Sus scrofa: one gene and its partner. The protein of the gene in region 1 interacts with the protein of each later gene in a pairwise test. Links are inferred from orthologs where the notes say so. Each region holds a gene or a part of one and is shown on either strand. Other genes may lie near its edges.

Region 1 (4,290 bases):
ACTCTGATACTAAGGTGAGCCAGAGACAACATAAGGAAATATTAGACCAATATCCCTCATGAATGTGGGTAAAAAATTCTTATCAAAAGATGAGCAAACTGAATTTGGCAACATATACATACAAAGTATTCTACATCATGACTCAATGGGATTCATTCTAGGAACACAGATTGGCTTAACATCTGAAAATCAAGTATTATATATAATACACCATTCATACATATCCCTACCTTAAGAGTTTTTTATTTTATTTTTATTTTTATTTTTTTTTGTCTTTTTGCCATTTCTTGGGCTGCTTCCACGGCATATGGAGGTTCCCAGGCTAGGGGTCTAATCGGAGCTGTAGCTGCCGGCCTACGCCAGAGCCACAGCAACACGGGATCCAAGCCCCATTTGCAACCTACACCACAGCTCAGAGCAACTCCGTATCCTTAACCCACTGAGCAAGGGCAGGGACCGAACCCGCAACCTCATGGTTCCTAGTTGGATTCGTTAACCACTGCGCCACGACGGGAACTCCATGAGTTTTTTAATATAAAAAAGGTTATTTGCATTTTTTTTTGTCCTTTTTTGCCTTTTCTAGGGCCGCTCCCACGGCATATGGAGGTTCCCAGGCTAGGGGTCTAATCAGACCCGTAGCCTCTGGCCTACGCCAGAGCCATAGCAACGTGGGATCCGAGCCGCGTCTGTGACCCACACCACAGCTCATGGTAACGCCGGATCCTTAACCCACTGAGCAAGGCCAGGGATCAAACCCGCAACCTCATGGCTCCTAGTCAGATTCGTTAACCACTGCGCCATGACGGGAACTCCTATTTGCATATTTTTAAAACACCAAATGTCTATTATAGGTGGGAAATTCTATTTTTAAAAAGCCAATATTTACTACCTGTGAGAAATTACAACATAAATTATTTAAAATTAAATATTTATCTACTTAAATTTATGATGACCCTCCCATTTCATTAAACTACACTGGGCAAATCTTGAGATTAACCAGCTAATACTTTCTCTCTTCACGTCAAAAAGGCAACAAATTTGATAAGCACACCCTCCAGATAAGGCTTCAAATACACACTGTGTATAAAGAGAGTGAAAGAGCCTCAATGCCAATCACCAAAATCCCAGCTGTAAGTTGTGTAAATCAAATCCCTCCAGACACAGATGCTTAGAGACATGACTTCATCTATTTATCACAATCTGGCAAATACCCCATCTCACCCACCAGGTCATTGTAAAAGACTTAAATGCCTTGCCAAAATTCTGACACACTATCACTATGGATACTGTGCTCCTTTGGGACACCAAATATGGATGTTCTGTCCTGTTGTTCTGGCTGAAGAATTCTAGCAACCCTGATCCTGTGGTTAAGAACAGAAAAATGATACACTTTTTCACCTTGCATTAGAGAATCTCAGGAATCACAAAGATCTTAAACATTTTCTAGCCCAATGTGTTTCAAACTACAGGTCTTTAGCAGGCAGATTCATTAGCTGTCAGAGTCAATTTAGTGGCTACAATCAACTTTTTTTTATTTTAATGAAATAGAAAATGTCAGAGGGCATCATATGTAGAAAGAGTAAACTTTTGTTTGTGTGTACACACTCTATGCATGAGGGGATCACAGAGAGTCACTATGTAAAATACATTAACTGTGGATCACAGGTGAAAAAAGTTTGAGAGACACTATGCTAGTCCCATAGCCCTACAGCCTCAGGAAAGCTCCACTCAAAAATTCTCAGCAGTCAAAAAGTTATGTTCTTTGTATTTGTAACCATATCCACTTCACACAGAGAAAACAAAAAAGTATCAATTTTGTGCTCAATATACTTAATCTTCCATTCATAATAAAGACTAGAATCCACCTGAGGTTTCCAGCTGAAATAGTAACCTGTCAGAGACATTTGTTTTGATGAGATTAAGACCTGTATTTGACAGACCACAGACAACTGAATTTAGTCTGTGGCTAGGAAAGAGAACAAAAACCACTCAAGGCCTCGAGTTCTTCATCTGTAACCACAAGAGAGGACTGTTAGGGCTCCTAGCTCTGGAACTAGATTTATTGACAACCACCTGGCCAAGCAAGTGAGGACCACGCCTCCCACACGCCAAATGAACCATTCAACAAGTCAATTGCTGACCAAATCAACCAATATCACACAAAGAGCACAAATTCAAACTTATAGCAACAGCAATAAAAAAAAAAAAAAAAAAAAAAAAACAAGGGAAAGTCCCTAGGATTCAGCAGAAGCTGTGCCCTGAGCCAACTATCATTACTTTCTCAGCCACCCTTCTCTCTCAGACCCCAGTTCACTTCTGTCTTCCAGCTATGTGGCACTCGCGCTCTTCCCTGCCACCCGACCCCACTGTGCAAAAGAAAACTGAGGCACGGAGCACTAAGTGGACGGGCTGCAGCAGCCATCAACAAGACTAAACTAAGAGCATAGGCCACTAATGGCTCACACCTCCCACAATTCCTCGACTATTCTGAATCCCGCTCCCCTCCGACTCTCACCTCAAACCACATCCCCAAAGCAAGCCTTAGTAATGGGCCCCCAGCTCGTGCTCGCCTCTATAAAGGTCCAAGGCCTAGAACCACGAAACCTAAAAGCAAACCCTCCTGGCAACCCCGGAAGCCTCCTCCCACGAGCGCCCAAGAGCCACCCGCCTCCCCTTCGCTCCCACCTCCACGCCGCCGGGCCTACGCCTCCTCCGCACACCACACGGAGCCGGCTCCGAAGCACTCGAAGACCTGAGACGGATAGGCTCCTCCACCCACCTACACAGCCCGGGCCGCGGCCGCCTCCGCCGCCGGAAGCGCCCAGCGTCTCACCATCGTCCTTAGGTCACTTCCGGCGCGACGCCTCGGATACCGAAGAGCTGGCTGTTGAGGGGCGGGGCTCCCGGGAAATTTGAGAGTTTGAGAGAACCTGGCCTCCGGCAGCTCTGAGGCTTTCCGGAATCGTTCCTGCGAGCCCATTTTGCGTGCCCCACTTCTGTCAAGTGGATTCTGTTTTCGAGTAGAGGGTCTCCCGCACTCGGGGCATATGAAAGTTCCCAGGCCAGGGATCAATACCAGCCACAGCTGTGACCTAGCCACAGCTGCTGCAATGGATCCTTAACCCGCTGCGCCCCTATGGGAAGTCCATCTTGCTTAGCGTGTTGTGTATGTGTTTTACTGCCACACCTTCTGCCTATGGAAGTTCCTAGGCTAGGGGTCCAATCGGAGCTGTAGCTGCTGGCCTAAGCCACAGCCACAGCAACACCAGATCCGAGTGGGTGTCTGTCTGCGACCTACATCACAGCCCAGGGCAACGTAAGATCCTTAACCCTCCTTAACCCACTGAGCGAGGCCAGGAATCAAACCCGCTTACTCATGGGTACTGGTCGGGTTCCTTATCGCCGAGCCACAAGGGGAACTCCTATCTTTCTTATCCTTTTTTTTTTTTTTTTTTTTTTTTGTCTTTTGTTGTTGTTGTTGTTGCTCTTTCTTGGGCCGCTCCCGCGGCATATGGAGGTTCCCAGGCTAGGGGTTGAATCGGAGCTGTAGCTGCCGGCCTACGCCAGAGCCACAGCAATGCGGGATCCGAGCCGCGTCTGCCACCTACACCACAGCTCACGGCAACGCCGAATCGTTAACCCACTGAGCAAGGGCAGGGACCGAACCCGCAACCTCATGGTTCCTAGTCGGATTCGTTAACCACTGCGCCACGACGGGAACTCCCTTTTTGCTATTTCTTGGGCCGCTCCCGCGGCATATGGAGGTTCCCAGGCTAGGGGTCGAATCAGAACTGTAGCCACCAGCCTATGCCAGAGACAGCAACGCGGGATCCGAGCCGTGTCTGCAACCCACACCACAGCTCAGGGCAACGCCGGATCCTTAACCCACTGAGCGAGGGCAGGGACCGAACCCACAACCGCATGGTTCCTAGTCGGATTCGTTAACCACTGAGCCACGACGGGAATTCCTATCTTTCTTAGTCTTAATTAAAAACTCCTCCAGTTCCTCTTACGCTAATAGCTGGGCAGAAGACTTAGGGGCGGGGCTTGCGCCTAGTGACAGGGACCTCATCTTTGATCATTTTCAGCTGTGGGGTGCAATAAGTAGATCCCAGTGGTGAGTTAAAGGAAACGAAAAATTCCCTTTGTTGTTTATCTTCAGAGTTTATCAGCTCCAGCTCATTTTGGGCTTAATGTCAGCCAGTAAGAGTAGTTAATTCTCCTGTGCTTCCCTACCCCCATCCCCACCCCCATTGTTCATTGGGAGGAAAAGTGCCGCTCTCTTTTCCG
Region 2 (3,817 bases), on another chromosome or scaffold:
TATGACATTAAAATTAGAGAATATTCAATTGACATGTTGCCAAGTAAGATTATTTTTAATATTAATAATGATTATTAAAATCTTTTTTCCTATAATGACTCCAACTTCTGTTACAAATCTAAATAAGCTTATTTCTACAGCAGTTTACACAGAGGTCTCAAACTGAACTGTGTAAAACCAAACTATCTGCTTTCCACTGATGTTAAAACCCAGTGACTAGAAGCCTCAGAAAAGGGCTTGATTCCAGCTATGGGCAGGTTTATGAGCAATGCAGACACACCATGCTAATCCAGACTAAACCACATCAAACCCAAGTCAAAAATAAGGCAAATTCTTGGTTTTCTTTTTACAAATAGAAATCTGTGATTTTTAATTTTGTTTCCTATACCACTTGGCAGATGATGAACATGTGTCTGATTGATATGATCCATAGAAACTCAAGGAGAAATGGAATTAGAGAAATAAAGAGATGATAAAAAGGAGAAACTAGGTTTTATTTTTAATAAGTCAGATTCTCCTAAGTCATAAGTCTTATACGTTTGTCTGTGATTCTGACTGTTCACCTACAGTGTGGGGTCCTGGGTTCTTGGGGCCTTAGGTGATATTTTTCACGCTATTAATTGTAACTATAATACTTTTACTCTGTTTACTCCATCATACTGTATAATTATCTATGCACTTATCTATAACGTAATCATTTTACTTATAGGAGATGGTTTTGAGGGCAGAGATGTCTGTATATCCAACCCATGCTTCGACAATTTAGCTGGAATACAGTCATTGTTATTGTACAGAATTTACTGTTAAACTGGAGTTTTTCTGTCCTGTTTTTTGAAAATGAAACATCCCTATTTTTTTCACAGTGCAAGATGGTGTGAATTTTGGAATTTCATACCTGGACCAAGTTCACAAGCATGTCTCTGAAGTGCCCTGAGGTCTCCGCATAAATGTCCTCTTGAAGATCACGGCTGTATTCTGGGTAAGAGAATGACCACCTTGAGGGACAGTTTATTACAGAGCCACGTATAGAGAACCATTCCAATAAGTTACTGCCACTTCCCCATCACAAGTAGAAAGTGTATTTCCTTACGCAAATAGTAAGCTTCTCGCATCTGGAAAATTTCTCCGTTTGTTCTTGAAGCTAATATATCAATGAGGCAGTTCTCATCAGTGCCTGCTCCCTAGACAGACAGAGCAAGAAGAACATCAGGGCATCTGTGTGGGATAACAGCAGATGTTATCTGTGTAGCCTCCCGGTGTTCTGAGAGGTGGCAGAGGGCATGAAGTGTGTTTGGGATAAAGGCAGCCCCATTCAGTCTGGCTCTGCTATTTACTAGTTGTTTGGCCCCAAAGGTAATATTATCTGAAAGTCTGTTCCTTCATGGAATAAAGCAGCATGGGCATTTCTAAATGATGGGGGAAAGATGTTTAAACCATACTCACAATGCTAATTTTTTTTTTTTCTGCCAGAATATCCATTCTTGGGCAAACTGAAATTTGATCTTGGTCTCTAATCTGCCAAAGATCGTTCAGAGACCTCTCCCTGCCTCTGCCCAGATGTGGAATTTTGTACCACTTGCCTAAACATCTGGACAGGGTGCTTTCGTTGGTTTTCTTACAGTCATAGGCATGTAGTCTTCTCTGATGGTGATTTTTTAAAGACAACACATCTTTTTAAGAACGCTTCAGAAATCCTTACTCTTCTATGAGACGTTGATAAAATAGAATGGTTTCATCTAAACAGTAAATTAAGACTCTCTCCTGATAGTTTTGCAAGAGGTAGGAGCTGACATAGGCAACTTTTTAGTTGATATTCCTATGACTTTTATACAGTGCCTATTCTAAGCTACAAATATGCTGGCCCAAATCCAGCTTCCCTACTTTTTTTCCCTTTCCTTTTTTCTCCTCACACATTGTTCCCAGACTGTGGTAATCTGGTCCTTGGCAGGCATCGTACTGGAATGGTTTTGGCAGCTCTGCAGGTGTTTAATATCAGCGTTTGGAAAGATGTGAAAAGCCATTTGTCCCCCATCCCTGGCAGCAAACCTCAAACAAATCTGGAGACCGTTTATCTCATGGAAATGACTTTTCTATAAGAAAGAATTGTTCTAATCCTTCAGAGGTAAAATGTTGCTACATTTGAGCAATAGCGTTTGTAAAGAACTAGCTTGGGGTCACAAAAATAGACTAAGATGTCATCTGTATTTAGTCTCAGACTCAGTAATACTCTTTACTTGATGAGCCCAATGCATACAATAATTTAAAGAGAGTCACCCGTGTGTAATATTTCTCCTCATCTGTGAAGATGCCCTGGGGAGAGGAAACTCAAATAGCCCTGGAAATTTATTTACTCTTCCTTCAGGCAGCTTGGCACAGAGCTGGGTCAGGTGGCACAGAGCTGGGTCCGGGGGTCTGAGTTCACACAAGAACTGGATGATCCTGGGGCTGGGCTCTGGAGCCCCCCTTTCCTGACACCCCTAACCCCACACTGCAGCATTTCCTTTGTCTCCTCTTTGCTCAGATGCCCCCTCCCTCCCCCATCACAGAGCAGGGCCTGCTCCAGCGAAACTCTGGCTGCACCTGTTCAGGTACATTTCCATATCTGACCTCTACCTTCATGGCGTGCCAGAGCTCGTGAGCGTCGTACGAAGGCGGCGGGTACATGAGGCCAACCATGACATCTTTGAAGTGATCTGAAAGCTTCTCCTTCAGGTCACTGACCAGGTCCTGTGGAGGGAAAAGCAAATCTTTTCATGACATTGCTTAGCAATTTTGCGAGAGAAATGGGATCATCACAGAAAGACGTCTAGTAGGATGTCCTTCTCTACGTCATTTCACATAATGACTGGTCTGGGTTGGGTCCACACTTGTATACATGGATGATGTGAGATGACAGATTTAAGGTTCTGAAAATGACCCATGTGCTCACATCTCTGCCTGAGACGTCACCTGTATGGACTGTGGTCATATGAACACAGACCAATAACCCTTCCCCAGTCCCAGCATGACCCTCTCCTGACTGAATTATAGAAATAAGTACAAGTGGAAACCTGAAAGCATTTCAGCTGGGAATGCCTAGTTTTCCTGTATAGACTTAATAAAACATTAGTTTTGAAAGAAAATATGCATTTAAAAAATTTCATCACTGTAGCAATGTCTTTTAGCAGAGTCCCTAGATCCACTGATGCCAAAAAGTTCTTATAAATGTAATCAAGTAGTCTTAGAACTTTCTTCAAATAGTCACGTTAACACATTTACTGAACATATTGGAAGTTAAATGCTTAAAAAGAAAAACAAGCAGGCTGGATTTTTGTCCATGAATACAGATATAAAAGCATCAAATTGATCATTTTAATTTGACTTTCACTTTACCTGTATTGAGGAGAGGTTTAAAAATATATATGCTAAATTTATTATTTGTAGTATTACAAAGATATCTGAAAGATGGTTAAAATTGACCATTTCTTCCTAAAGTGCATAGTGTATATTCAGTTTAATTTAAAAACATGCAGTCTTTTAGTTCTGAGGTAGTTCAATAATATTCAAGATGGCATAATAACCTTTATGACAATAAAAACAAAATCATCATAATTTTCCTTTTATTCAGCATAATCTGACAGCCTTTCCTATACTGTGGTTTTCCTTTTTTAGCAAATAGAAGCATTCACCCAAAAGGTGATAATTGGTAACATGGAGAATCTACTGAATTTTTGCCAGGGTCAATGCAGTTTGTTTAATGAGCAGTTAACAGGTGTCTGGAGTTGTGATCAGTGCTGGAGTACACATCAGACACATGAGGTCCCTTCATGGAGCTTGT

The links.
Region 2: the proteins of EDC3 (region 1) and ANXA10 interact in binary tests that used the Homo sapiens proteins (3 or more experiments, as listed by UniProt). The link is inferred for Sus scrofa from reciprocal best matches to the Homo sapiens genes EDC3 and ANXA10.

What each region holds. Positions count from the first base shown.
Region 1 is NC_010449.5:58,827,255-58,831,544, reverse strand, and holds the start of EDC3 (enhancer of mRNA-decapping protein 3), read right to left. Parts: upstream 2,853-4,290; 5' UTR 2,686-2,852; intron 1-2,685. UniProt on the Homo sapiens protein: Binds single-stranded RNA. Involved in the process of mRNA degradation and in the positive regulation of mRNA decapping. May play a role in spermiogenesis and oogenesis.
Region 2 is NC_010456.5:21,263,212-21,267,028, forward strand, and holds part of ANXA10 (annexin A10), read right to left. Parts: intron 2,728-3,817; coding exon 2,614-2,727; intron 1,182-2,613; coding exon 1,091-1,181; intron 976-1,090; coding exon 896-975; intron 1-895.